Linked DNA regions of Rattus norvegicus. The protein of the gene in region 4 interacts with the protein of the main gene of each other region in a pairwise test. Links are inferred from orthologs where the notes say so. Each region holds a gene or a part of one and is shown on either strand. Other genes may lie near its edges. The genes, in order: Txndc9, H2ap, Polr2c, Myog, Eif4e2 and Cluap1.

The links.
Region 1: the proteins of Myog (region 4) and Txndc9 interact in binary tests that used the Homo sapiens proteins (3 or more experiments, as listed by UniProt). The two-hybrid records come from large-scale screens. The link is inferred for Rattus norvegicus from reciprocal best matches to the Homo sapiens genes MYOG and TXNDC9.
Region 2: the proteins of Myog (region 4) and H2ap interact in binary tests that used the Homo sapiens proteins (3 or more experiments, as listed by UniProt). The two-hybrid records come from large-scale screens. The link is inferred for Rattus norvegicus from reciprocal best matches to the Homo sapiens genes MYOG and H2AP.
Region 3: the proteins of Myog (region 4) and Polr2c interact in a two-hybrid assay, tested with the Homo sapiens proteins (2 studies listed by BioGRID and IntAct). The link is inferred for Rattus norvegicus from reciprocal best matches to the Homo sapiens genes MYOG and POLR2C.
Region 5: the proteins of Myog (region 4) and Eif4e2 interact in binary tests that used the Homo sapiens proteins (3 or more experiments, as listed by UniProt). The two-hybrid records come from large-scale screens. The link is inferred for Rattus norvegicus from reciprocal best matches to the Homo sapiens genes MYOG and EIF4E2.
Region 6: the proteins of Myog (region 4) and Cluap1 interact in binary tests that used the Homo sapiens proteins (3 or more experiments, as listed by UniProt). The two-hybrid records come from large-scale screens. The link is inferred for Rattus norvegicus from reciprocal best matches to the Homo sapiens genes MYOG and CLUAP1.

Annotation. Positions count from the first base shown.
Region 1 is NC_086027.1:47,714,194-47,719,614, forward strand, and holds the start of Txndc9 (thioredoxin domain-containing protein 9), read right to left. Parts: upstream 3,569-5,421; 5' UTR 3,479-3,568; intron 3,383-3,478; exon of another isoform or gene 3,247-3,382; intron 2,392-3,246; 5' UTR 2,372-2,391; coding exon 2,183-2,371; intron 322-2,182; coding exon 203-321; intron 1-202. Other genes in the region: Eif5b (eukaryotic translation initiation factor 5B), read left to right, coding at 4,661-4,695. UniProt on the Homo sapiens protein: Significantly diminishes the chaperonin TCP1 complex ATPase activity, thus negatively impacts protein folding, including that of actin or tubulin.
Region 2 is NC_086039.1:15,579,235-15,582,773, forward strand, and holds H2ap (huntingtin-interacting protein M), read right to left. Parts: upstream 1,797-3,539; 5' UTR 1,713-1,796; coding exon 1,359-1,712; 3' UTR 1,242-1,358; downstream 1-1,241.
Region 3 is NC_086037.1:10,167,732-10,173,263, reverse strand, and holds the start of Polr2c (DNA-directed RNA polymerase II subunit RPB3), read left to right. Parts: upstream 1-2,333; 5' UTR 2,334-2,357; coding exon 2,358-2,443; intron 2,444-2,544; coding exon 2,545-2,594; intron 2,595-5,273; coding exon 5,274-5,342; intron 5,343-5,469; coding exon 5,470-5,522; intron 5,523-5,532. UniProt on the Homo sapiens protein: Core component of RNA polymerase II (Pol II), a DNA-dependent RNA polymerase which synthesizes mRNA precursors and many functional non-coding RNAs using the four ribonucleoside triphosphates as substrates.
Region 4 is NC_086031.1:48,295,352-48,300,712, forward strand, and holds Myog (myogenin), read left to right. Parts: upstream 1-2,124; 5' UTR 2,125-2,157; coding exon 2,158-2,628; intron 2,629-3,216; coding exon 3,217-3,298; intron 3,299-3,852; coding exon 3,853-3,974; 3' UTR 3,975-4,714; downstream 4,715-5,361. UniProt on the Homo sapiens protein: Acts as a transcriptional activator that promotes transcription of muscle-specific target genes and plays a role in muscle differentiation, cell cycle exit and muscle atrophy.
Region 5 is NC_086027.1:95,337,026-95,341,767, reverse strand, and holds part of Eif4e2 (eukaryotic translation initiation factor 4E type 2), read right to left. Parts: intron 1,543-4,742; coding exon 1,428-1,542; intron 1-1,427. UniProt on the Homo sapiens protein: Recognizes and binds the 7-methylguanosine-containing mRNA cap during an early step in the initiation. Acts as a repressor of translation initiation.
Region 6 is NC_086028.1:12,093,166-12,097,907, reverse strand, and holds the end of Cluap1 (clusterin-associated protein 1), read left to right. Parts: intron 1-31; coding exon 32-87; intron 88-3,133; coding exon 3,134-3,283; 3' UTR 3,284-3,562; downstream 3,563-4,742. UniProt on the Homo sapiens protein: Required for cilia biogenesis. Appears to function within the multiple intraflagellar transport complex B (IFT-B). Key regulator of hedgehog signaling.

The DNA.
Region 1 (5,421 bases), on a different chromosome or scaffold from region 4:
CGGCACAATGAAACATTTACACAGGACTACTGACTTCAGATAAGACCGACTTATTTACTTGCAAGGTGCTTGCTGGCTTAGGCTAATCTTCACAATAATGAAAACACCTGTGACCACATCACCACACGTGACTGCTCTAAGTCAGCAGTGTCTCTACGCACATGTCTCATCCCAGTAGAGAGAAGAGCGGAAGCCAGGTTACCTGAATGTGGTGTCTCTGTAGAAATGGCAAACCACCTTCTCACTCTCCTTGACCTCTTGAAAGAAGTCTCTCTCGCTGCCGATTTCCCTGTACTCCCCGTGTCCTTTGGAAAGCCATTCCTAATTTCAAGAGAAGCAAGAGACCCAGCTGACACGTGTTTTCGTGGTACCGAGTGTTTTATATCTCTTAATCATTGTGTAATTTTGTAAGGGAATCAATTCTATTGCATAGCAGGTGTTCCTTCAGCAGTTGGCTTTCCTAGGATCTCAGTGGCCATTGTGCAGAGCTAGTCTGTGGGCAGGAGTGACCGTCTCATGACAGGGGTTCATTAGGGCAGTTCTGCACCTTGTTCATTTACCTGCTTCATTTTAAGTTTCACAGCCAGAATTTAGGTCTGTGAGACATAACATGAAAATACCAATTTAACTTTCACATGTGTGCTCTTTAAACTAATAAAATCAGGGTTGTTTGATTACAAAACGGTTTTTCGGTTTATTTTTGTGATGTGAGGGACTGAACCAGGAGCAAGAGCAGGAGACAGGAGAGCTCTACCACGGAGACACACACACACACTCACTATTTTCTACACTTTAGAAAGTAATGCTCTCACAGGCAACTAAAGAATGTTGAGAGTGGGAGGAAGAGTCTTCTCCAGGGAAAAGCACGCCAACTGGCTGTCCACTACCAAATGGTCAGTCTTGAAAATGTACACACGAGTTAACATTACAGACTGAGCAGGGCATATTTAGAAATGTGTATGTCTACACACACACACATATAGGGATGTAACAACAATTAGTGAGAACAGAGGCTGTGAGCGTGAAAGGGAGAATATGGGATGGCTTGGAAGGAGCAAAGGGAAGGGGGAATGATATAATCCTATGACAATCTCAAATTTAAGAAATAATGTCCTATCCACAGCATAACTAAACAGACAACCAAACTAAACCAAACCACCTCATGAAATAAAGCCCATCCACCCTGGGGGACAGTGCAGTTATCGAAGCTCAGGAAGCTTAGGACCCTATCTGCTTCTGACAGTAATCTCAAAACAGGCCGGGGCTTCTAGAGCAGCCAATAGTGAGCAGAGTCCTCAGAAGGAAAAGTATCCCACCCACGTGGTGTCCAAAGCCAGGGAAAAAAGCCTCACATCTAATTCAGGTTCCCAAGCTGAGGCAGGGCCTTTGTCAACCAAGCCTGGGACTCTTCCAGCCCCTTCCCCTTCCCTGTAGCAGAAAGCTTGTCACCTCAACGGATGCTCACTCTCCCTTTCAGGCTGCTGGTTAGGAGAAAAGTAACAAGGGAGGCTGCAGTGGCCACGCCCATCCGACATTTACTGACCGTTTTTTTTTTTTTTTTTTTTTTTTTTTTTTGGTTCTTTTTTTTTTTTCGGAGCTGGGGACCGAACCCAGGGCCTTGCGCTTCCTAGGTAAGCGCACTGACCAGTTTTAAGGAGCCTTCCACTTCACCTTCTCTCTTGTAAGTGGGTGCAACAACCCAACCATGTCACTGAGTGGCCATGAAGATGACAGACAGAATGGGGGTGCTGGTGCACACCTTGGGCCCCAGCGCTTCGGAGGCAGAAGCGGTAAAATGTCTGAGATTTCTAGGCCAATCATGGCTACACAGTGAGATCCTGCTCCTGTCCTGCCCTCCCACAAAAGACAAGACAACCTAATAAAAACGCAAGTCTAACACTTAGAAATATTTTCTCACACACAACCATCGTATTTCTTTTTGATGTGTGGACCCTAAGCTTGCCCTAAGAAAAAGTCTCAATGTCTCTCTTTCACATGTCATCGCCTCAGTCAAATGGTACATCTTGCCTAAGTCTTCCCTAATGTTTTATTCCTGGGCAGCTACTGAACAGTGTCGTGTGAATTTGGAACATCCTGCAAGTGAGGAGGGAAAGTCACATGACTGCACAGTGCAGTCAGGAGCACAGGGTTACAGTGGTTTCAGAGAGCAGGCGGAGGTTACTTGTTTCTGCTGCTGAGCCTTCCGGAGCGCCGCCAGTCTCTTTTCTTTGAGCAGTTCCAGCTCATCTTCACCGATCTGATCCAGTTTCTGAATTTCAGAGTCCAAGTGATTTTCCACTAGCTTAGCAGCCTGGAGGAACTGGTTTTCTAGGACTTCTGAGAACATGTCGATAGATCCATTTCCTTCCATTTTCCTAAATGGTCTTGGTGCTGGGGGAGGGGAGGGGTTCATAAAAAAACAAGTATTAAGTTTACACTCTGGGTTTTTTGTTTTTGTTTTCTTTTTGTTTTGTTTCTGTTTTTCTTTAAAAGACAGGGTCTCTATAAGGCCTGAGACCTTAACAGGCGCCATGTTGGAGGCATCATTTTGGCCTTAAAACTCAGCCATGTAGGCCCCAGAATAAAGATACCCACTGGCCAACCTGATTTACCCAATTTCTCAATGAGTCTTTCTTCCCAGGTGACTGTAAGTTACTGCATAAAGTTGGCAGCTAAAACTAATCAACTCGCACACAAAATAACCCTGGGCACGGTGGCTTATGACTGTAACCTCAGTTCTCAAGGGCAGAAGCATAAGGATCAGGAGTTTGAGACCATCCTTGGATATATTTGGAGGACAGGCCTGGGCTACTACATAAGACCATTTATTTTAAAAAAAAAATCCCTAAACTACCCTCTAAGCCTCAATTTTCAGCTCCTCATGAATATTATACAACTTAAAAGCTGTATCCCCAGGTTCCCTAACCTGGGGAGGAGAGATACAATAAGACTGTGACTCTTCAGGAAGATCTAGATGAAGGGATCCGAGACCAGCTACTCACAATCTGCCATTAACAGGGCATAGTAGTCGCTTATCCCTGAGGTTTTCACAGACCTTTAAGTTTAAATTCAGAGCTTCATGAGACTAATAAGTGCTGCGCTGGGTTAGGTGGGGCTAAGGATGTGTAGCTTAGTGGTTCCCCATAACTTTCTATTTGTTAAGTATTACTCTTACCGATGAACTGGGGGGGCTGACACTTATTTGTTCCCCTACAAACTCCTACCCGAAACCCTAACCCCGTGTACCTGTCAGCGGACTCTTCGCCACTCCCTGAGCTCAAGGGACTGGTGGAGGAGTTCCGGGGGGTGGGGAGGACGCTAGTTCGCACTAACTGGGGCGCATGCGCCGTAGCCTCCGCAGCCGCCCAGACGAGGCCCTCCCAGCCGCCCCCAGCCCAGCCGGATGTGCAGCCGATGTGTGTCCTTCATCTACACGGGGACGCAGTGGCAAGATCGGCTACAGAACCCTCTGCCGTACCTGGATTATTGGTGAAGCCTACGGAGAGAGGGAGCCGCAGACCAAGAGCACCGACCAGGTTCACGCAGGTTTCAACCTCACAGCAATTGTTAAGGGCGGCGAATGAGCTGTCAGCTCCACCTTTTCATTGGCTACAGCCCTCTCGCGATATAACCTGCGGAAGGGGCGGTGGAGAGTGACGAAAGCCTCGGAGAAGCTCTTATCCTTCGCCACCCGGAACTACTGACTTCTGAGCCTACACTTCACGTGGGCTAATGGCCGGAGGGATGGGCGCTAAGGACGCTGGGGAATGTAGTTTTTATGCACTGACTGCGGGTCCCAGCTCGCAAAGCTACGTGGAAACGAGCCGGGTCTTGCGCTTGAGTGACAGAGGGGCTTCGTTTGCCTTGCGTTTAATAGTTTCTAAAGTGTAGCTTCCAGTATGCTATAAATTTGTACACAGCTCACACTATAACAGTGCACAAAAACATATGGAGAAAAATTTCACCACTCCAGGATCTTCCCTCCCCATTTTATCTTACACACATGCATTTTTAGAACTTGCTCATGAGAAGATTCATATTAGGGGTCCGGTCGCTGTGCCCTTATGTCTTTTTCCCTTAATAGAAGTACACAGTTGACAATTCAGTGTCTGAATTGGTATTTTTGTTTTTGTTTCTGTTTTTGGTCCTGCCAACCCCAGAAAGCTCATCATTGGCTCCTTGTGGTCCTGCAGTGGACTTCCCGCAGCTGAGGCGAGGGGAGTTTTCAGTCCCACTTCGGCGTCGAATGCCAGCCCCGGGGAGGGTGCTTGACAGTGGGAAATGAACGGCCTCATTGTCCTCCTCCAGGTTCTAGAACCCGGGAGCTGCTGGGCGTCGGTGCGCGGCGCTCACTTGCGGCTAGGGGGCGCTCGAGTTCCCACCTGGCCGGCGGGTCAACTCCAGACGCTCTAGCCGAAGCGCCGCTCTCGATGAGCCGCGCCCTGCGTCCCCACGCCGAGGCGGCGGGGCGATGCGCTTGCGTACTGAGGGCTCACACCATATGTGCCCTGTCCCAGTGCGCGGGTCTGTGGAGAGCCGGGTGCGAGAGGCGGCGGCGCGAGGGGGACCGAGCCGAGCGGGCATTGGAGTCGGCTGGGAGACAGTGGGTCTGTGAGACACCGAACCGAGGGGCCGTGGCCACGAGCGCCGCTGACAAGCGATGGGGAAGAAACAGAAAAACAAGAGCGAAGACAGGTTAGGCGGCGGGGCTCGGGCCGGGGGTCGTCGCGCGGGGCCCTGGGTGGGCGAACCTCGACGAGGCGCGTCCCGCGGCCGGGGCTCGGACTGCGGTCCGAGGCTTGGGGCTGGGGCACTCGGAGGTCGTTTGCGGGGGTTCCGGGCGGTGTGGGGCCGGGCTCGGGCGCAGCTAAGCCAGGCCTACGGCCCAGGTGAGTGCGAGCCGGGCCCTGGCAGCTAGGGTAGGGCCGGCCGGGAGCGGCTCGCTCGCCGCCCCTGACCCTGGGAACGCCTCCCGGAGCAGCTCAGGAACTTCGAAGTTGTTCGGGGCTGCGGAGTGGTGGCCCAGCGGCTCCCTCGTCTTGTATGCCAAGTTGGAAACACTTCTGGGGTTATTTAAAGTGCCGGTTGCCCAGACTCCTGCTTTCTGGCTTTCCGTCTTCCGGCCTGTCTTTCTCGCGTATGTCTTGGCTTCCTACCACTTCCCATAAGACAGAAGGAGGGGAAGGAACCATTCGGGGTCGCTGCTTTCTAACCCTAAAAAAAAAGTCTTTTCAGGGAGAGGAGGGTCTCTGAGCTACTTTGGCGGAAATTTTGGGGAGCATGCCCGTGTCACGTTCGATTATGTTCTTTTACCTTTTTTCGGTTGAGTTGACTTCCTGGGAGTCTGCAGCCATCTGGTTCAGTTTCATCTTTAAGCAGTAGCCATTCAACTTATTTTAAAAACTCCACAGGTAACCGAAC
Region 2 (3,539 bases), on a different chromosome or scaffold from region 4:
TCCAGCCATCAAAAGCTCCCTCTGGCTGTCCTAATTAACCTATCTAATCAAAATCAAATACCTCGTCATAACATGGTTTCCCCCTTTACCTTTATAAACTGCCATTTGCCTATGGGCCGTGTCTGTCTCTATCCAGAGGCAGTCCTTTGTCCTCTCCCCTACTTCTGGGAAAAATATCCTTTGCCCCCTTATTCTCTTCCCTTTCTCCCTTGTCCTCTATCTCCTTTTTGTTTCTTATTCCCTTCCCCATATCCCTGTGAGGGAAATAAATCTCATTTGTGCTGAGAACTAGGGTCTTTGGGGTCCCAAGCTGATAGCGACCTTGTTAAGATGAATCAAACATGCTGGATGAACAGTTCTGTGTGATCAAGTAGTTTCCATTTCTTAGATTTTGCTTAGTGCCTGAGGTAGAATTTGGAGGTTGGACATGTTTGATTCCCTATTGCCAAGTCTTTACATAGACAATAGGCCTAGGAGGAGATACATGTTCAAAGAACTGGTTTATAGCTTCAACTCTGAGATTCAATCATGTGTCAAGGCTAAATGAAAACAGTATGATTTCCTTCATCCAGATTTAAAAAATAACTAGTATTCCCATAGGTTATAACATTTGAAATTGGATTGAGATAAAATATAGACAAATTGACAGTAGAAATATTTGGCAAGCTAGATTCTCTGCCACCTTCTACCCAGAAGCAATTAGATTTCTATAAATCACAGGCTCTCTAGAAAAACATATCCCAAGACTAGATGTTTAACCATTTTACCTCTTCTAAAATGGATATTTCCTTCTGGCTTTGCCATTACACCATCATCAAGTGAATACTCTGTCCCTTATGCCTACTCATGTGACTCATGCAAACTGTCTTTACCCCTTCGCTGACACCCATTTCCTTCTGCTCTGAGACCTTTGCTCCCATGAAAGGTGGCTTCTGTTCATCAGCAGCATCTTCCAAGTTACCATACTGAAAATATAACTCTCCAGTGAGGCTACAGACTACTTCTGGTCTTCTCTGAGGCTTCTTTTGTACTCAGAGCCAACAAGGGAGCCTTCTCCACCCTCCTCTCTGCCCAATTCCCCCCACTGGGGTCATTACCCAGCCCACCCCCACTGAGAAGTACTCCCTCGATTCAAACCCCCACTCCTAAGCATAACTTCAATCTTTTATTCTTTCTTTGATATCTTGTGGATACCTCCAACTCAACGAGACAAACTGAAATAAGTCAGAACAAGTAACTTTCATTTAAACATTTTATTAGTATTCATGGACACAGGGGGCAGCCTCCTCTGCTATTAGCCTTCATGGTTCTAGCTGAGTTTGTGAGGCTTCCCACTCTTGGGTTGTGAACCCCATTCTTTAGCCATTCCTTCTGGGTCCAGGCATCTCATCAAACAGAGAGAAAGGCGCATTCTTGAAGGCTTGAGGGGGTTCACGGTCATTCTCTCTCTGTCTCTCTCTATCTTGTGAAATATTTTGCTGGCTGTTGATGTTGGCTTCGGAGCCCACCACCTCCAGGATGTAGTCGGTAAGGTAATCAAGCATGGCAAGGAGGAAGTCAGAAGTTGTGGAACCTAGGCAGGGGGTGTATTGCTCCTCCTGCAGTAGGCGGTACACATAGTTCACAGGCACCTGTACCTCAGGCCTAGAAGAAGGATCTTCCGTCTGCTTGTTGTCGCTGCAAGCCTTCTCTTGGCTCTTCTTCCCCGACATGATGGTTTGATGGTTTGGGCTCCGGTAAGCTCTGCCTGGTTCACCAGCAGGACTGGTTCTCTGAAGACAATGTTCAGTCAGGCCCATTGCACCCTCAACTTCTGCACCTCATTGGTCAGGAGCTACCTTTATGACATCTTAGGCTTTGAGATGTCATTGGTGCCTGGTGGGTTATGAGCTTTGACTAGGTTTTGAGCCTAGAAATATCTATCACAGCAATGTGACCACCTTACCCTGATTTTGAGGGGACTCTAACTCTTCTCAATTACACTTGAATTAACATTGTAGAAATAATGTGTTTTACTTGAAGCTGTCTGTCTTTACAACCTTTCATCAATTACAAGGCAGTGATAAGCATGTCAAATACATTTCCAGGTAGAGGCTTGACTGTCCTCTTCAAGCAGTGTTGAGACCCTTTTTGATTCAATTTACTTATTTAAATAGGCTTGGTTAACAATCCTGTACACATTTGAATATATTCATTCATATGTTTATTCAGTATCATAGATATTCAATATCCACATGAGTTTTATCCAATTTCCAAAACATCTCTTTTTGGAGAGGAAATGCTTGGTGTGTTTCTGGTACATAGATGTTGGTAGCTATACTTTGTGTTCTATTTAAGTCTGGATATTGCTTTCTTGTTGTTCTTTCTGTTGGGTTAAAGCCAAGCTCCAGTATACATATTTTATTTCAATTTTCCTTTCTATTACTATCTTGTTTCTGTATTTTTGTTGTGTTTTGGTTCACTTATAACCAGTAACTCCTACTCCAAAAGATCTATAGTGAAAGGAATCTTCAATCAAGTCAATATCAAAACCCAAATATGTAAAACTTTATTGGATATCAGGGCAGAACAATAAGCTCATGAGATGTGAGACCACTGATCCTGGCTCTATTGATTTCATAACTTTATCTATAGCCAGATTTCTTCCCTCCGAACTCTCTGATAATTTCTTTTAATCATATGTCCTTGGCACAAGGTTACAAGTGAGTAATCTTAGCCACTATTGTTCTTCACAAAGCTTAAAAACCCCACAGATTTCTGTCATTTCATCTTCTGTCACCTTCAATCTAATCTGACATTAATTCTGCTGATATATCATTTTCCAAAGCTTACAGATCTAAATGACTCATTTCATCAGACATTAGATTCTTTCACAGGTCCTTAATCAAAGTAAAAGGTAGTCATGCTTCAGCCCACACACACAGAGAGGCTAAGTAACAAGGAGGGCTCTAGGGGTAATGACTGGATTTCCCTGGGAAGGGGATATAGAATAGATTATGTGGGTAGACTGGAGGTTGGTAGTGAGTGAACAGGAGAAATCAGGTTGGGGAGGAAGCAATGGATGGAGAGAGTACAAGGAGAGACTACTTGAACTTAGGAGAGGGCTTGATAGGCAATGTGGAAACCTAGAGAAGTGGAAACTTCCTGGAACTTATATGAGAATGACCCTAGTGAGGACTTCTAGTAATGAAGGATATGGAGCCTGAACTAGTCATCTCCTGTAACCAACCAGGCAAGGCATCCAGGAGTGGGATTTAAACACAAATCCAGTCACAAAACCTTTGATCCACAATCTGTCCTGCCTGAAAGATGTGCCAGGGCAATAATGGCTTATAGGAGTGGCCAACCAACGACTGGTCCACTCTGAGGCCCACTTCACAAGAGGAAGCCCACACAAGACACTGCTTGGATAGCCAGGAACCAGAAGCTGAATGGCTCAGAGACCTAAGATTGAACCAAACATGTCTGGCAAAAAAAGATCAATGAAAAAAATCATAATGACATTGTGTTATACTCATAGATTAGTGCCTTGTCCACTC
Region 3 (5,532 bases), on a different chromosome or scaffold from region 4:
TGTAGAGAATTACAAGCCTGCTTGAGCCACAGAGTGTGATCCTGTCGATCAAAATCCCCTGAGAAATATTCTTAGGGGCTCACAACCAAGGTCCAAAGGCAACACATAGTGGGGGCTCTTCCCCAGCACAGGGCAGACAGTGTGCTCACAGAGGTATTTGCCATTGGCCACTGCTCCTCTGGATCCCCTCAGAAAGCTGCCTCCCCTAGACAGGTGCCTTTTGGATGGTCATGCTGAACCTGGCATCACAGACACCAGTGTGCATTGCAGGATCATTAGTACATTTAGAGTCTGTAAAAATAATAAATATGTTTGAAACAATTTCTTATTGTTTTGTCTATACGGTGTCCATCTAGACAATGTTGAGTATCCAAGACCCCGACGGTAGACAGTAGTATATGGAAGAAGTCTGAGTTCTGACTGTGACACTTCCTTAAACCTACAGGGCCACCATGACAGCATTGCATCTCTGGGCCCAGGCAAGTGAGGGCAGTCCCAGGCCATGAGCTCCTTGTCTGCTCCTACTCTCTGACTACATGAGGGCAATCTTTAGCTTTCATAGTCCTCCAGCCTTTACACTGGCTGTTTCCTTTGTGCCCATGGTTTGCACTGCCTTCTGCTGTACTCCTGTTTAAATCAGCTGACGGGGAAAGCTGAGTTTCCGTTCTTGTCCACTGGACTTTCTGTCGGGCTCTTTTCGAACCTCTGATTTTTTTGTCTCGACGTCCCATAAAGTTACTGCCATGATTACAGTTCATCTTTTCTCTATCCTTTTTAGCATCCCTCTCACTCAGCAGACAAGTGGGACTCACAATTCCCAGGGATGGTGTGTACTGTGAGCAGGCCCCCTCTGTATGGGCATTGTTGGAGTATATGTTGGGGACCTTTGAGATGGCTCAGTGGGTGAGAGCATTTGCAGTCAGGCCTGGTGTCTTTCCACGCACATGATGTGTTGTACCGTCTCTCACACACACATGTATTTTGATTTTCATGTGTATGCGTTACAGCACTCTCTCTGACATCAGCTCGGGTGTGGGTCTTTTGTTGTTTGCTTCTTTGCGCACTATCTAACTGTCCTAAGAGCATACAGGGGATTCTTCTCTTCACCTTCCAACTCAAAGGAGCACTAAGATTACAGACTTTGGCATTACCATGCTGGCTGTTTTACGGGTTTTCTGAGAATTTGAACCTGTATCCTTGCACATCGAGTTTTCTGAGAATTTGAACCTGTATCCTTGCACATCGAGTTTTCTGAGAATTTGAACCTGTATCCTTGCACATTGGTGTTTTGGCTTTGACAGTGGGACCAGGGACTGTGGTGCGTACTTTACATATCAATGCAGAGCTGGCCCCTAGGTACTCCCAGCATCTTTCAGTCCCTACTTGTCATATTCTGCCCCCACCCTGAACTTTCCAGCTTAGAGGCTGGGTTGCCCTTCCTCAGAGGCTCTTCTCTTTCCTGTTTAATCCAGATACCTTGTGCTTTGTGCTCTCTCTCCTTTTCTCTCCCTCCCTCCCTCCCCGTCTCTCTCCCTCTCCCCTCTTTTCCCTCCCTGTCCTTCCCTTGGTGACTCCCCTGGCCTCCATTCTTGGGGGCCAGTGAACTTGCCTGAGAACAGCTTCCCAATAAACCTACCTTTTAATATGTTCTAGTTTGACTTGAATTGACTCATTTCTCTGGCAGAGAAATAACCTGTCAGTCGTTTTACACAATGAGCCACCTCCCTAGCCATTTTATTTATGTTTAGATGTACAGCTTCCATCTTTTAAAAGGCTTTATTGTATTCCTACACATTTAAAAATTATTCTTATGTATATGGGTGTTTTGCTTGCATGTATGCTTGTGCACCATTTGACTACCTGGTGCCCTCAGATGCCAGGAAAGAGATTCCTTAGAAACTGGAGCTAAAGATGTTAGACGTCATATGGATGCTGGGAATACAATCCAACTCTTAGGGAACAGCAGCCAGTGCTCTTATCTCCACATCCCCGTATGTACGTTTAACCAAGCCTCTATCAATTTTTTTTTTTGGTTCTTTTTTTCGGAGCTGGGGACCGAACCCAGGGCCTTGCGCTTCCTAGGAATTTTTATTATTATTTTTAGCAATTACAAATAACATTGGCGTGAATGACCCTGTCCGTGAAATTTTGTGCTGTGTATCTTGGGGATTTCAAGAGCATAGGACCAGTGCATGTAGCCAGTGTGGTTAGAAAACACAGGCCAGGAGTTCCGGCCTCCGGTCAGCAGGTGGCACTGCGCCCACGTCTAGCCGGAAGCGCCCGGGTGCCCCGCCGACAAACTGGTGGTCGCGCAGGCGCGCTGTGGGGCTGGCGCGGGAGACAGGCAGCCGGTCGTGATGCCGTACGCCAACCAGCCAACCGTGCGGATCACGGAACTCACTGAAGAGAACGTCAAGTTCATTATCGAGAACACGGACCTGGCGTAAGGAGGCGAGGGGAGAGGCGGGCGGCCGGGGCCTCGGGCTCCTGACCCCGGGGCTGTGTCTTCGGGGCCTCTCACGCTGCCTGCCTTTCCTCCTGTAGGGTGGCCAATTCCATTCGGAGGGTCTTCATCGCAGAGGTGCCCATAATAGGTAAGCGACCCTCCCTCGGAGCCGGTGCCGCCGTCCCTCCGCCCCGGGTGGGAGCTGAGAACACTGAGGAGGTGCACGCCGGGCTGCGGCTGCCTAGGCCCGCCTCGGTGCGTGCCTTGCTCGGCAGCGGGGATTCCAACTCTGTTCGTCTACCCAAAAGCAACAGAAATCAAGACTAAGCACTATTAAAACAGCCGAGGGCTGCAGCCTCCTCATCCGTAAGGTGACCCTAGGTTAGCGGGTGATACAGAGATTACTGAAGTAATGTAGATGGTGCGCTTTTGCTTTTTTTTTTTGGTTCTTTTTTTCGGAGCTGGGGACCGAACCCAGGGCCTTGCGCTTCCTAGGCAAGCACTCTACCGCTGAGCTAAATCCCCAGCCCCTGCGCTTTTGCTTTTAAGTCAGTGTTCGTTACTGGTTGGCGTCTTTTGAAAATGTCTGTTAATTTTACAAAATAACAGACTACGTAATGACATTTTTTAAATCTACACACAGAGTGATTTCTCCCGTCCTTCCGTCCTTCCAGATAGTACCCTGCTATACTTTCTTTTCTTCTCCCCCTATCTTCTTTAGAACATATTTATTTACATATATGTGTATATCTCTGGGCTCGAGAGTACCATAGTTCATGTGTGAAGGTCAGAGTACAGTTTGTGGGAGGGATTCTCTTCTCCCACCATGTGTGTCCCAGGGATTGACCTCGATAAGGCTTGACAACAAGTAAGTACCTTTATCCCGCTAAACCATCTTGTAGGCCCTGAACTCTCCTTTTATTTAAAAAGGGGAGGGGGAGGGAGGGAGGGAGGGAGGGAGGGAGAGAGAGAGAGAGAGAGAGAGAGAGAGAGCGCCCACATGAGAGAAAGCATGTGTGTTATTAAACTTTTCTTTTACAAACAGCATACTTTAGTTCTTTATGGTTGAAGTGTGTGTGAGTGAGAGACAGACAGATAAGACAGACTACAGGGTTTTTTGTATTTATTCTGGTGTCTTTTTTTTTTTTTTAATGAATTTCTTATTTCTGTAGATCATGTAAGTTTCCAGGTGAAGTCAAGAAATGAGCAAACATAACACAAGGCAAAATATGACAGCTGTCTTCAGGAGAGTCTAAACAGTTTTGTTTGTTTGTTGTTTGTTTTGAGAGAAAGGAAGGAGACCAAAAGAAGGGGATGGAGCATTTGTAGATACGCACACACAGGGTTTTTATACCGGGAGTTCCCACCAGGGGTTAAGGGATGGGGAGTAGATTAAGGGCATTGAGGGGGCCCTGGAAGTAAAGCGTCAGGAAGCCTCACCCTTGCTAGGGTTGAAGAAGCGCTGCAGGGAAGGGCAGGCTGGGCCTGTCCTCGCCTGGTCTTCTGACCTCTCTTCCTTGTGCCTATGGCAGCTGCTTGAGAACTGGGCTCCCACACCATTTGATTTCTGAACATCATTGTTTATGTGCAGGTGTTTGCTTATGGGCGATTAGGTACAGGTTTAAGTTAAGCTTCTGTGTGTGTACAGTCCCGTATGCCCAGCATTGAACTGAGAGGGGTTGGATTTATTGTTAGTGTGCTTTCCCTGTTGAAGCCATCCAGTGAACCATCCCTTGATGGGAGTAACACTGAAATTCTAAGTGGGCTCTCTGGTGATATCATAAATAAGGTGTGGGCCATGAACTTGTGATGTTTTACTTTTTACTCTTGAGATGTTTTCCCTAACTTGAAAATTTTTAAATTTTTTTTTTAATATTTATTTATTTTATGTATGTCAGTACACTGTTGCTGTCTTCAGACAAACCAGAAGAGGGCTCCAGATCCCATTACAGATGGTTATGAGCCACCATGTGGTTGCTGGGAATTGACCTCAGCACCTCTGGAAAAGCAGTCAGTGCTCTTAAGGGCTGAGCCATCTCTCCAGCCCTTTAAATTGTTTTTAACTGTCTCTGTGTGTAGGTGTTTACAGGTGAATGCAGGTGCCAGAGGTGCCCAGGAGTCTCAGATCCCCCTGAAGCTGGAGTTACAGGGGTTGTGAGCTACCTGACATGGGTGCCAGGAACCCTTCCCCCCCCCCTTTTTTTCAGAGCTGGGGACCGAACCCAGGGCCTTACGCTTGCTAGGCAAATGCTCTACCTCTGAGCTAAATCCCCAACCCTGCCAGGAACCTCTTAACCTCTGAGCCATTCCTCCAACCCATGTTTCCCTCAACTTTTAGGTGCCCAAATAGCTTTTATTCTTGGATTTGGTATTGGCACAGGTAGCTGGTTTAAAGTACTCAATTCCCTAAATATCTCTAAATTCTCTGAGGTAGGTAGGGGTGTATGTGTATCACTAACAAGGCCTATACCCAGTTCACTGGGGCAGGAAGATTATATATATGAAATGTGGAAGGCCTAAACCTGGAGCTAAACTTTGAAGCCTCTTACAGCCTAGTCTGGCCTGGTCTGGTCACCTTCAACTTTGTAAGCACTGACTTGATTCTTTCTTTTTTGTTTGTTTTGGTTTTTTTTGTTTTTGTTTTTGCTTTGGAGACACTGTTTTTCTTTTGTAGCCCTAGCTGTCCTGGAACTCAATTTGTAGACAAGGCTGGCCTCTGCCTCCCGAGTGCTGCTGGGCACTGAGTGATGTGAGACAGTGCTATAGGTCTGTAAATGAATCTGATGGCTAGTTCTCATTCGTCCTGTCTTGTTGCCGCCTTTTCCAGCCATTGACTGGGTTCAGATTGATGCCAACTCCTCGGTCCTTCATGATGAATTCATCGCGCACAGGCTTGGTGAGTGCCGGTGTTGAGGAAGAGATCAAAGTGGGATGCTCCCTGTCCCTAGCCTGCCTGACCTCTGAGGTTCTTGTGGTGGCTTGGCTGTTGGCTGTTCTGCAGAGCACTTTTCTGTGTCTTGCAGGTTTAATCCCCCTCACTAGTGATGACATTGTGGACAAGCTGCAGTACTCCCGGGTACGTGTGT
Region 4 (5,361 bases):
CCACGTTGCTTGCCCCTGTTTGGTTTTGTTTTTTATTTTGTCTGAGAGAGTCTCCCAACTAGCCCAGACTAGCCTGGAACTGGCAATCCTCCTGCCTTGGCCCCTCCGAGTACGGAATTAAAGGTATGTGCCACTATGCCCACCCAGCTTTCAGCAGTCTCATTGGCTGCAGCATTAACAGCTTCGCAATGGGGCATTCGCTGCCAATGGTCCGGGCTCATCTACCGGGCAGTGAGGCCACGCAAGGCATCTAAGAGCAAGTCCTGTCTGCTCCCACTTCAGAAGAAGAAGACAGTTTGCTTAGGGGTAAGTCAGATGGGGTCCCCCAAGGACAAAAGATATAATTTGGGGGTTTGCACAGCAGATGTGATATCCCTCTCTTCTCAGGGCTCACAGGGCCAGAGTATAACCTGAAGCAAGGTAAACGTCTGTTTGTTTCTCCACTTTGAGGAGGTGGGGAGTGTGTTGAGCATGAATATTCTCTGTGTGTTAGAATCCACAATACCATGCTGCACTCTGTATTCCCAAGTGAAGTCAAGAACGGCCTTAAGGCCTCACTAGGCCCCAATTTGCTTGGGGCTCCTTTATTTTCCAGCATGTCCCCCTCACACACCTGTTTCCTCCTTCAAAAGACAGTGCTTTCTTGGCTCATCCCTTAAGGGAGGAGAAAAGGCCAGCCTTTCAGACCTCACACAGCTCTCACTGCCGCTATGAAGGGATCCCTCCTTGAGATCCCACACCCCATACAACTCCACCCTTCCCCTGATTGTCCTGACTGGTAGTGTGTCCGTCTCTTGCTCTTCCATTGGAACAGCAGGACAGATCACACCTAGTCTGCAGGGTCATGGGGAAAGTCCTGAGCCGTAGGGTGAAAGTTTGTGACTCAAAATCCAGAATTCCTGAAGCTTCAGGTCAGGGGAATAGGCAGCCACAGGAAAAGGGATTCAGGAATCAGAGGTAGGGTGAAAGGTGGCCAGAGGCCTCCATGACCATCAGTGCCTCTACTGAGGTATCTACTGGGCTGAAGGAGCCCAAGATTCAGTGGAGATGGCCCCTCCCCCACCTGACATTCTAGAGTTGTATGACACAGGCAAAGGTCATGACTCAGGCCGGAAGGGATAGAAGAAGCCAGCCTGGTGGCAGCCTAGGACAGACACAATGTTAAGGATTACTCATTCTCCTTATCACCCATATACAGAAAGGAAGGAAGGAGTCAAAATGGTTCTAGTGCCCAAATGGGCAGAAGACATCATTGAGGGGAAAGCACAGGAGAGATGATTAAGAGACACCAGGGAGGGAGACAGGGGACTGAACAGCCCTTGACTGGAAGAGAAGGCAACGTAGAGTAGTTTGTGAGTTCTAATCCTTGCTAAACACTGACTTCACCCGACCCCTACTACTTCAGGATTCCCCCTTTACTTAAGAAGTCCCGTGTTCTCTTACTTCAACCCACCCTCAACAACATGAGACCTGGTCAAAGATGCCGTGGAAACCCAAAAGTTGGATCCATTTGCTCTTCTGAGTTTCAGTCTTTTGCCTCCATGGACTCTAGGGTTTCACACATATACACATGATCCAAACGTGGAGTGGTCCTGTTGTGGTGGTAGGGACCTCACGGGACTGACAGTACGGTTTAAGGTGCCACTGAGCAGGAAAGAGAAGGCTAGATGGATTCTGAAGAACCCTTCCCATCCAAGGCAACCCCTTTCTTGTTCCCTCTGGCCCTGTCCACCAGCTGCCCTGGCCCATGGAGGAGAGCAGGCAGGAGGCCCGGGTAGGAGTAATTGAAAGGAGCAGATGAGACGGGGAATGTACCCGCCCCCACCTTCCCTGCCCCACAGGGGCTGTGGAGAAATGAAAACTAATCAAATTACAGCCGACGGCCTCCCGACCCGTGCACAGGAGCCGCCTGGGCCAGGGGCAGGCTGGCAGGGTGGGGTGGGGGCAAAAGGAGAGGGAAGGGGAATCACATGTAATCCACTGTAAACGTCTTGATGTGCAGCAACAGCTTAGAGGGGGGCTCAGGTTTCTGTGGCGTTAGCTATATTTATCTCTGGGTCCATGCCAGCAGGGAGGGTTTAAATGGCACCCAGCAGTTGGCGTGAGGGGCTGCAGGAGCTTGGGGGCCAGTGGAAGGAACAAGTCTTTTCCGACCTGATGGAGCTGTATGAAACATCCCCCTATTTCTACCAGGAGCCCCACTTCTATGACGGGGAAAACTACCTTCCTGTCCACCTTCAGGGCTTCGAGCCCCCGGGCTATGAGCGGACCGAGCTCAGCTTAAGCCCGGAAGCCCGAGGGCCCCTAGAAGAAAAGGGACTGGGGACCCCTGAGCATTGTCCAGGCCAGTGCCTGCCCTGGGCGTGTAAGGTGTGTAAGAGGAAGTCTGTGTCTGTGGACCGGCGGAGGGCAGCCACACTGAGGGAGAAGCGCAGGCTCAAGAAAGTGAATGAGGCCTTCGAGGCTCTGAAGAGAAGCACCCTGCTCAACCCCAACCAGCGGCTGCCTAAGGTGGAGATCCTGCGCAGTGCCATCCAGTACATTGAGCGCCTACAGGCCTTGCTCAGCTCCCTCAACCAGGAGGAGCGCGATCTCCGCTACCGAGGCGGGGGCGGGCCCCAGCCGGTGGTAAGTGGCTGGTGCACCAGTTCCAGGGATAGAGCCAGAGGGAGGTGCCTGGTCAGCCTCGGGCCACCAGAGCTAGAACAGGTGCAAAGCAGGACCCTGGAGATCCCAGGACCCCTTTCCTGGTCGGCTAGAGTGTCCAGCGGCCTTCTGTGATCATACTGTTTCCAGACCAGACAAAGGCAGTGAATATAAATACAGATGGGGTGGGGTGGATTGGCACAAGGGAACAGAAGAGACCCAGAAACAAGCCTGAAGTAAGGGCTTAGGAGAGCCTAGGTGAAAATGAGAAAAAGTGGCCAAAGAAACCCGCTTTATCCCAAAGCCATAGCCTCTATATTTGAGCTAACAAAACACATTAGAATGTCCATAGGCCGGCTCAGGAGCCACCATAACAAAATACTCTGGTTTACCACCCTTATCCCTAAAATAAAGGCAAAATTCCCATCCTAGAAGCTAGGAAAGACCTAGAAATATGATGACTACGGTAACATTCTATGGTGAGTAACTGACCCTGTAACCCAGGCAGAGAGAAATACCTGAGACCTGTAGTAGACTTGACCTTGGACCTTGGCCTTGTCTTGCATGCAGGTACCCAGTGAATGCAACTCCCACAGCGCCTCCTGCAGTCCGGAGTGGGGCAATGCACTGGAGTTTGGTCCCAACCCAGGAGGTAAGTGAATCCTGACCCTGGTAACATGGCTCAAATCCCTTAGTCCTAACTAGGCTGGGCTGTTCCCTTACCATAACACCTGTTCCAGTTACCTTCCAGCGGCTTTTCCAGGAACCTGCTGACCCGAGGTCCCCAAATGGTGGGCTGGAGACCCTACCTCCCTGTAGCCTTGACCAGCTAATGAGTAGTTAGGGCCTCCCACAGCTTCCCAGCTGGCGTCTGACTTGGGGAGGGGGTGGGGAGAGCCTGCCCCTGCCCCAGGGGTCCCTGGGAATTGCTGAGTCAGTGTTGTAAAACTGGGCCCGGTTCCCTAGGATATCCTGGCTTCACCTTGGGTTAGCCACTTCCAAAACCCAACTGCATTAGGGGATTTCAGAAGCAGCCCACAAGTACACACACACACACACACACACACACACACACACACGGCATGGGGAGTGCTAGTGGGGGGGGGCACTCCTGAGTCTTCCTTACCTATTTTGTCCTGGAAAAGTTGTGTCATCAAGGGTCCCTTACCCCTTGCCCAGGAAACATTCCCCACCTTCTCCTTACAGATCATTTGCTCGCAGCTGACCCTACAGGTGCCCACAACCTGCACTCCCTTACGTCCATCGTGGACAGCATCACGGTGGAGGATATGTCTGTCACCTTCCCAGATGAAACCATGCCCAACTGAGATTGTCTGCCAGGCTGGGTGTGCATGGGAGCCCCTGAGTTGGTGTCAGACGCCACCACTTCTGCAGCAGGGGCCTTTTAAGTGGGGCTGTCCTGGTGCCCAGAAAACAGCCCTGGGCTGCCACAAGCCAGACTACCCACCGTCCATTCACATAAGACTAACACCCAGCCCAGCAAGGGAATTTAACTGACTCCTTAAAGCAGAGAGTATCCCCTTCCAAGGAGAGAAAGATGGAGTCCAGAGAGCCCCCTTGTTAATGCCCCTCAACGGGGCAAACTCAGGAGCTTCCTTTTTTTTTTTCTTCATAATGCGCCTCTAATTCCACCCCCCAAATGAGACAGTTTGAGAGACAGTGAGTGCCCCGACCGGGACAAGTGTGCACATCTGTTCGACTCTCTTCCTGATGCCAGTGGCTGGGCTGGGCCTGCCCTGAGATGAGAGAGAAGGGAGGGAACGATAGGGTTCCAAAGTCTCTGGGGGGCAAGCATTTGCAGTGGATATTGGGAACCTTCCAGTGCTTTGTGTATTGTTTATTGTTGTGTGTGTTGTTTGTAAAGCTGTCATCTGACCAAGGTCTCCTGTGCTGATGCCAGGGACAGGCAGGGAAGGGGGTGGGGGCTCTTGGGGTGACTTCTTTTGTTAACTAAGCATTGTGTGGTTTTGCCAATTTTTTTTGTAATTTTTTTGCTAACTTATTTGGATTTCCTTTTTTAAAAAATGAATAAAGACCGGTTGCTATCAGAGCGTCTGCAATGATATTATCAGGAGGGGAGGCATCAAAACACTGCACCTTCCCCTTGGAGGTCCAGATGGGGGGGGTTGGATCATGTGAGTGGAGCTTCAATCCTGAGCTGACCATTAGATGCAGGAGGCAGGTGACACATAGCCTGGGGAAAGACCAGATTCCTTAGAAATCCCGGGCACACCGAGGCCTGCAGAACCCTTTGTTGTACTTTAATTCAGACATCATGTACAGTCCACTGTGTTACAATTTCCAGCCCAATAGGTCCACTGAGCACGCTCACGTGCCTTGTGCCCAGCCCACACCTAGGGCTAGGGGTTTAGAGCTGGATTTTCAGGGCTTTCCTTCCTCAGCTCCGTGCCTCCCCTGGATCCGCATCCCTTTAAGTTCTACGGAGAGTAGGGGGTGACTACACAGAACAAATGGAGTCAGACAGTGTCATTTCTTCACAAGACAAATAGCAATGTCCCCTTATCACCTTCTGCCCTTCTGGGGATATTCCTGTCCCCATCTACAGCTCAAAGGTGAGGAGAGTCTGCTGAGGGAGACAGAGACAGAGAACATCAGAGAAGCCGGGGTTCTCATCCTTTGGGATGCTAAGGTTTTCAAAGACTGGTTTCCTGAGGGGAGAAGGTGGGTGGGAAA
Region 5 (4,742 bases), on a different chromosome or scaffold from region 4:
TTTCCAATGTGTTGAAGCTGAATGTTTAATGTTGCTCACATAGTACATTCTTTACGGGTTAGTTGATTCTAAGTTGCTGTAACACGACTTTCTGCTTTTCTCATAACACCATGGGCATTCATCATCTCAACATATGCCCACTCCAAGTACCACCTCCTCAATGTCCATTACTAAAGACGGGCAGGTTGCTTAACCTTCTTGTGCCTCAGCAACCGTCTACAAGACGGAGGAAAGGACAGTAAGCACCTAGAAGGGTCACTGTGAAGAACAAATGACTAGAGGCACCAAGAGCTTGGTCACTGACTGTCACAATGGAAGTGCTCAATGAACATAAGCTCCTTCTCTCTCTCTTTTTTAGACAGGGTTTCTCTGTGTACTCCTAGCTTGTCTGGAACTCACTCTGTAGACCAGACTGGTCTCAAACTCAAGAGATTGGCCTGCCTCCCGGGTGCTGGGATTAAAGGTACACACTGCCACTGCCTGCTATCTTTGTGACTTCTTACCACCTTGTAAGAAAAGGCCTGCTTAGCAGGCATTCAGATTATCAGATAAATAGTGCTATAATACTGAGAAACTTGATCTACTACTTCTCTTTCATTTCCTAAATTCTCTGTATCCCAAGCCACTCTCAATGCGTACTACTGTTGACTGAAAAGTCTAAAACAGGAATGTGCAGGATTTGAATTACTGAGTAGCCTTTAAAGAAAGCTCCAGGTGAGAGCCCTCACTCGCCCATCTCATATGAGGAGACTATAGCAGGACAGCACCCCAAGACTTCACATTAAGAGGAAGTTATAATTTCCAAAATAAACTATAGTCATTCTACCATCTTTTTTTTACACACACACACACACACACACACACACACACACACACACACACACACACACACACACACACAGAGGTTATCGTGTCAAGCCAGGAGAGGAGGAGAGGAAGAGAGAAAGAGAGAGAGAGAGAGAGAGAGAGAGTGAGAGTGAGAGTGGAAGAGCGGAAGGAAGAGTGAGAGTGAGGAAGAAGAGCCATTCTACCATCTTTTAAAACTTGTAATGAGGGATGCATACTAAAGATTTCACTGTGACATTCCTATATACACATCCACCAGGCTTTGGTCATACCCAGTGCCCCGTGTCCTCTTTTATACCCTCTCCCCCACTCTCCATACCTTTCCTCCCTTTTGTCAGTGCTAGGGATTGAACCCAAGGCCTTATACCGACCTCGGAGTAGTACCCTAGTCCCCGATCTTTATGTCTCCATGAGTATACGTGCTTGAGAGTGTGTGCGTTAAGAGCACATGGTGGGAGAAGTCTCTCCAGTCCCCTCAACCTTGTTTTAAGAACAGTCAGATTCCAAAAGAGTGAATCTGCTCTAAAGAGATAATGAGATAATCAAGGCACACGACACCTGTATTACAACCCCAAACATACCTTCCTCTTGCCACCACTCTGGCTCTTATCTCGGTCTGTTTTTTCCTTCTCACCATCTTTCTGTGTGCTGTTTTCTTCATTCTGATCATGGTCTCCACTGTCATCATCTTTTAAGCTACAAGGGAAAGCAAAATAATGTCATTCCATCACTAAACTATTGTTACCTAACAAAACTATAAGGTCAGAGAACTACTAAGTATCCCGAAGTCACTCAAACCCCAGGCCTATGAGATGTGTCTGTGAGAAGGGCAAAGGGAAAGCAAACCAGGAATATTAAATAAAAACTATTAAATTAGCTACCCCATGGGCTCCAGTGAACAGTCTTTCAGTTTCCCAACAGCAGCATAACAAAGCAGTTAAAGAGCTGGATTTTGTTGTAATAAACAAACTGGTAATTAGAATTTCTGGACAAATTCCTCTGACATCTCCAAGTTTAAAACCTGCCCATATACTGTCACGTCCACTCCTTCCACCTCTCTCCCAGCTGCCCTCGTTCCACACCTTAGGTCAGTATCCTTCTCCAGTCATCTAGTTCATCATTGGTCTATAAGTGGGTGTGATGTCAGTCTCTCCTCTCCACCCATCCTCTTCACTTTCTAAATGTGAATCTGCTAATGAACCTGCGTCCTTAAGATGCTCAACCATCAACTTCCTAATTACCTATCCTCTAGAGTAGCATTCAACACAACGTGCTTTTCCTAAGACTTTAGAAGTTCAGTCCTGTCCAGAGCCTACTCCTCTCCCTTCTCATACACATCAGCCCTTCTCACTGGCAAACACCTTGCTTGCTTCCAGTCCAAGGTGCCACTCCTCCCTGTCTGTTTCTTCTTTGAGACAGAGGGTTTCTTTAGCACAGTATCATACCTCATCTCATTATTACTGGCACCCAAAACACAGATGACACAGAACAAAGACTGAATGAAAAGGAAAACCAAAGGAGGAGTGGATGTGTTGTCTTATAAGCAGAGTCAACTGTGAAACCACCTAAGCCCCACCAGATGCAGACAAAAACAAGCAGGTTAGTGCACAAAAATAAGAGTGCATTTGCTCAGTCTGCTAAGGTGGCTCATTGGGCAAAGGCACTTGTGGTCAAGCTGGGGGACTGAGTTCAATCCCTGGAACCTACACACTGGAAGGAGAACCTACTCCTGCTAAGCTGTTTTCTGACCTCTCTACTCCATACACATACTTTAAAAAAAAATGGAGGAGACAGAATGGCATTCACTCCAGAATTAGCCCATTCGCCCATAGGTTTTCTCCAGAATCATCTTTTGGGTTCTATAATGGTATATACAAAAAAATGGAATCAGGCATTTTCAAGACAGGTCCCAGCACACCTCAGTTGTAACTGATATCATCCTACACAGACTCAGAAATATGGTGCATACCAGTTTGTGTTTTGGAAAGTGGTGGTGCTTGGTGTTTGTTGTCTGCTCATCTTTAATGGCTAACGTATAAAATGCACCTGTAAATAACAGGATGAATAAGCTAGTCCTGTGTGGGGTACCTGCTCTGCCCAACAGGCAGCCATACTGCAGGAGATACTCATGTGGCCATTCCCTGTGATAGATCTCCACATCCCCACCTGGTCAAGACCCCACTAGATAAGGCATAGGAGCAAAGGGCAGTCCAGTCTGCCTAACAACCTATGCCTCATAACCTTTCTTCAGAATACTGACTCCTCTCTCTATATTGATTTCATCCAAGAGAACAAAGACGAAGGATTCAGAAGCTGGACCAGCTTTAGGGTCTTTGAAAGAATCAAGACTCGGAGCAAAAGGGACAGGCAGTCCAGAGAGAGAGAAAGGAGTTGGAACTGATGAGCATGTGAGGTTAAACAGGGACCTGAAGCATCACCCTCACCCTTTCTAGAGTGGCTCAAGGAGGCATTCCACGATCCCAACCCAGAGCCCACTTTCTCCCACATGGGCAAGCAGAGCAAGTGGAGAGAGGTGTGCAGACACTGCCATCTGTCTGCTTCTCAGAGACATTCATTACCTGTGCTTATTAAACTTCCTTCCCCTTGGTTAAACTTGTTTTGCTTAGTTTCCTTTTCAAATCAAGCCTGCCTTGGACATAATGCCCATGAATTAAAACTTACCAACATTTACCAAGCAGCTCACTGGCTACCAGAGTACCTGTCCTCAAAGAACTAAGGAGAGATAAGGTATATAAAGCCTTGACTTGGTGCAAAGGGCCATTCTGTTTGCATGTCCCCCAAACATCTCCTGCCTGTTCTCTATGACCCCCTTCCACTCCTATTGTGTCCACTTAAGTGCAGGTCCCCATCTCTGCCCCACTCCTACCATGTTCAGCATGGAGTCATGCCTCCACTCCTGGTTTACTGCTCTTCAAGATTCACGTTCTCTTGGAAACAGTCCCTACTCTCTCCCAGTATAGGTCAAACCAAACCCTCTCCTCTGCTCTGTATAATACAAGCATCTCAAGGCCCATTTCCATCCTCTGATCTAGAACCGAGAATACCTCATAGATTTTTCTACTGTTTTTGGCCCCAAACAACTCTCTTTTGTAACACATCCTCTAGGGATACAAGACCCTTTGTTTTCTCCTAAGCCCTACTATAGCCTCTGAGGTCATTTTATTAGATTTTGGTTGAAGAAGGACAGTCACCTAGGACCTCTCATTTTTGCCAGCCACAAGAAAAGTGTTATATTCCTTTCCTTTCTAGTGGTTTTCTTTTGGTTGCTACTAGGAAACAAAAAGAAAACAAAACCAGTTAAGGCAGAGAAGAAACAATGCTATTATTCTGAAACCATCTTAGACGCCTTTCTAAGCCAGCAAGTAGGAACCTCAATGGACTTCATTTTGTATCTTTATGCACTGGTCTTTATTTTAGTTTTGAGGATGCTGGTAATAAAACCCAGCATTTCCTTTATGAAAGGCAAGGACTCTACCAATGAACATCCCCCCGCCTCACCCTCTCATCTTATGAAAATGGGTCTCTCTAAATAGTCCTGGCTGTCCTAGAACTCACTATGTATACCAAGCTGGAACTGAACTCACAGAGATCCATCTACCTGTCTCTGCCTCCTGAGATTTTAAGGGTATGTCCACCATATCTACCCTGCTTTAACCTGCTCTTTGCACATACACCCAAGCCAAAGGTTTACAACCTGCTTTTCAGAAGCTGTTCTTCCCAGCTTAAAGCTGGATTTGAGCCAAAGTAGAGTACACACTAAAACAGTAGCACTCCACAGACTAAACTACTTAAACTACTCAATTCCTGTTCAGACTAAGTGACACTTGGGTTAGCTCTCTAAGCTTCTGCCTAGGTACTTCTCAATACTCCCTGGA
Region 6 (4,742 bases), on a different chromosome or scaffold from region 4:
ATCTCACCATTTTTGTGGTTTGTTTTCTCAGGAAGGCCCAGCAAACGCATCGTGGGCACAATGCAAGGCGGAGACTCCGATGAAGATGTGAGTCCATGCCTTCCCGACAGTCCTGTGCCTCCCGGCCTGGGGCTGGGCTCAGAGCTTAGCTCAGGTGCTGCCCAGATCAGGGAGCTGCTTGTACTCAGCACATGGCTTGACTGTGCTGGAGCTCGGTCTGGGAAGGGCTGGCTCTCCCTCGCTTCTCAGGAGCTTGTTTCTCGCTTCACATAAATATGCACACCCATCGCCCTTCTTTGCTTTGTCACCTTCTCAGTTCTTTCCACTCTCACTTTCAAAGACGCAAGCAGCACCAGCCCTCTTAGGTAAATGCAGGACCTCCAGCTCCAGGACGCAGGTTGGTCTCTTTGCCTCATCTGTTTGTTGCTGTGTGTTGGCCTGCTCAGGGCTAGCAGACCCTCTCCTCTGAGGTGATGCTTCCTCTGTTGGGCAGGAAGCCCTCAGAATAGATCCCATTGCAAGAGAGGAAGGGAATAGATCCTCTTGCATTACCATACTAAACAGGGTCAAACACCAAGACCAAAGGTGAGAAAGACGTGTGCAGTCATCAACTCTGAGTTTCAACCTAGAAACGAAGCGCTGATGCCAAGGACTGTGGTCTGACACAGCCTGTCCTCGGCACCCTCTGCAGTTCTGGAGCAGGAACACAGAAAAGATGTTTGTCCTAGACCAGAGCCTTGGAGACACCTGACAGGAGCCTGAGACCAGGATGCTGGTGCCTTGAACTCCACCACATAGATAAACCAAAAAGGGAACTCTGGGTTCTCAAAATGGCAGGCTGGCTCTGCACTGCCAGGCTCTCTGAGCCCTGTTCTTGCAGTCCCTGGCCATACTTCTGGGCCCAAAGGTACTGGAGAGACACCAATCCAAGATCAGTTTGTAAAGTATGGGCCTGTGTCTAGGGTCTGGCACCAGCACCTTCACTGGGACAAAACAGGACCTTATGCTCTTGTATGGTGCCTGGCTTACTACAGTGTGGTATTACTTAGAGTCACAGGAGCAAGCTAGCACCTAGTCTTGCTGAGCAGGACACAGAGACACGTGTCCTGAATTCACCTTGAATTCCTAGGACAGTCACTAGAGAGTCAGGGAAGTCACTCAGCTGTGACTTTCTTTTTAATCCCAAGGATGCATATGATAAGGTAGCTGCCATCCGTTCCCCCCATCTGAGATGACACACAAAGGGTGCCTATGATAAGGGAGCTACCCTCTACCCACCCCCAGCCCCCGAGGCTGACACATGGGTCTGGCCTAGAGAGCCTGTGCCTCCTGGAAAGTGCCTGGCTTGTTTTACTTGCTTGCATGCTTTCAGAATGGACACATCCTCAATGGCCTGGGTCTTCCCGTTTATTTATCTCTTGCAGGCTGTGTTCACACAGCCCCTCTGTCACAGCTTTATGTTTGTCCAGCATCAATCTGTTGAGTCCTGTCAATGTCGGGTCCTGAATGCAGCAGGGAATAAAAACAGGCCTTGCCTTTGGGACACATGTGTTCTAGGAACAATCTAGCAGGCATACCATGGCCACGGTTATTAGGGAAGAAATAAAATTAGTTCAGGAGGCGAGAAATGACAGAGACAAGGGATTTTTTTTTTCCTCGTGGGCAGGCAAGGCCTCTCTGAATAAGGAACAGGGTGAGCCATGTTAGGGTGGACAGAGCCCTTGGGCCCAGGGAGTGTGAACACCTCCAGTGCCTAGGCAGTGGCAGGGTAGAGGAACTAGGCTGAGAATGATGAGAAGTGGCACAGGCAGTGGACCTGCATGGGATTTGATGAGCCCCTCCCTCATAAGATAGATGTGCAGTTGTCAGCCCAGGAGAGACGGCAGCAAGGGCAGCTGTGTAGGCTGGAGGTGAGGGTGCTTTAGCCTGAGGAGGTGAGGACAGTGCTGTTGAGACGTGCTGGACTTCTGGGTGTTTCTGAAGTCAGACCCATCTTGTTTCCTTAGTTGACTGCACCAGTGTGATGAAGAGAAGAGCATGTAGACTGCTTTGGTTGTGTGTAACTGACTAAAAGCGCAGGGTTTTAACTTCCTGAGACAGATGACTTGGGGGAGGAGAGGCTGAAAAGGTGAATCAGGAATTGGTTTTAGACATTCTCAAGTGTGTGGCCTATTAGACATCCATGTTCCATGTGCAGCAGCCAGTTGAAATTAGAGTTTGGAATTTAAGAAACAGGGTCGTATCCCTACTGGATATCCTTTGCCGTCTTCATAACAGTGGTCTTGGGCTATGGGGTAGATTGCTGTGCTTAGGCAATGGTGGGGTAACACGGGAACGCTGGAGTACAGGAATTTACCCGGGGAGTTTATCCTTTCTTTTTTTCACTGTGAGACAAGGTCTTTCTATGTAGCTCAGGCTGGCCTCAAATTCAGTCATCCTCCTTCCTGCCTTAGCCTCTGCAATGCTGGAATTGGAGACTTGTGCCACAATAGGAATTGCTTCTCAGCATTTGGCTAAGATCAAGTGTGGTACCACAGTAGGTCTGGCCTTCTCAAGGATTTCTGCTAGAAAGAAGCAGACAGCAGGGTGGCTGGAGGAGGTGGTAGTTCTCTAAAGAAGAAAATGTTAACACATATGACTACTCGGGAGTAGACTGGGTAGCCAGCCATCTTGGCAGATACTCATGGAACACAGGACTTGCTGTAAGAATGACAGCCTCTGGTGCTCCCTGGATCCAGACCATAAAGGAGCTGGGCACCACCGCTTTGCCTTCTTTCCCACATCTGTACCACTCTCCACCTCCAGCTGGAATAGGCCTCCCCTCCGCCTGCTGTCTGTTGTCTACTGGGTCTCTGGAGTGCAGGAGCCGTGCAGATCTAGGTTCCTCAGCACATGTTAAGGGCGTTCTTGAGACTGCCTCAGACAGCCAAGCCCTGTTCCGTAGCCCTGGTAAAGAGCTACTGGTTATAGCCTCTCGAGTGGACTCGTTCAACAGGCAGTGTGTGTGTTCCCACAACCCTCCACCACGTGGGGTGGCTGGTCATTGCCCTGGCAAGGGTGAGGTGGGGTCTCTAGGGACAAGATGTCATGGTGAGCCGGCACCTCAGTTACAGTTGCCATCTCTTTGCTTCAGGAAGACTCGGAGGACAGCGAAATGAACATGGAAGATGATGAAGAAGATGACGATGATTTGGAAGATGAGAGCATTGCGCTCTCACCAGCTAAACCCAGTCGGAGGGTCCGGAAACCCGAGCCCTTGGACGAGAGTGACAATGACTTCTGACCTTCTTGCCAAGAGACCCAGACAGCTTAAGAGCGTCAGATGTATAGGTAAACAGGGACTCAGCAGGCTGGAAAGGTAACGTGTTTTGTTCACTACCCCATCTGAGCTTATCCATACTGAAACTCCAACAGAGATTTTCTTTGTCTGTCTCCTAACGCTTGGGATCCCCATACCCGTGTTCCAAGTGATTCAATCTGTAAGAAAAGCCCCTGAGGAGAAATACAGACTTGACACCATGTAAGTCTTGGCTGCTGTTATTATTAAATTAGTTTTCCTTGATGATCAGGCCACAGAGAGGCTCCAGACTATGAATGTTTTGTTTTCTCTCAGAGGTTCTACTCCCAGAGTGTTGTTCTGGGATTCACTTCAAATTACATGCCACCATCATAGTTCCCCAGCCTGGCTCCCTCAACAAATGCAGCAACAACGTCTACTGTTACCTACTCCGCCAAAAGGGATCCGTGTGTGTGTGTGTGTGTGTGTGTGTGTGTGTGTGAGCACAAGCATGCATTTGTATGTTATATGTGCACATGTTCTAATGTGAACAGGTACTTGTTTGTGCTGGTAGACATGTATGTGTGAAGACCAGAGGATAACCTCTGTGCTTGTTCCTCAAGAACTGTCCACCTTTTGGAGGGTGTAGGGATGGGTCTTTTACTGGGGCCTGGGAGCTCATCAGTTATCCTAGACTGACTAGACAGTCAACTCCCGCTTTATCTCCCGCTTCCCAGGGGTTACAAGTGCACACTAAGGGTTTGCAGGAGGGTGTTTGGAGACAGCACTCAGACCCCTGCTTGCTTGACAGACTATGTCAGCTGAATTGTATCCTCAGCATTTTATTTTGTTTCATTTTTGAGACAGGGTCTCACTATGTAACTAGTAGCTAGCCAAGAACTCCTATGCAGACCTTGAACTCCTATCCTGGCCTTGAACTCACATAGATCCATCTGCTTCTCCCTTGGGCTACACTAACTGGATTTAGTAGATTATCAAACAAAAAAGACACAAAATTAGGGCAGGAGTATTTTGGGGGAGAGCAGAAAAGGGAGGCAGTGTACATGATCATAGTTCATTGTAAACATGTACGAAAAGCTCAGAGAGTTCTTGTAGGCCTGACAAAACAAAACACTGGAGCTGGAGAGATGGTTCCAAGGCTGAGGAAGCTAAGCTCAGTGCCCACCACACGAGGTGACCCACAGCCAACTATTAGCTCCAGTTCCAGGGCCTCTGGTACATTCTGGTAGCTTCCTTGGGCACCTGTACTCACAAGCTTGTACCCTCACACAGATGCACAAATCAGAACAACAGAAGCTAGAGGTGTCCAAGGTCTGAAATGACAGGCACATAGACTGAAATGCTTGGTATGTAATAAGGGAACAGCAAAATGGGCTTCCTGTGTTTTGCTAAGGAATTGGCTGGGTTTTGCTCAAGAGTGGCCACCTCAAGAGATAGGGAGAAA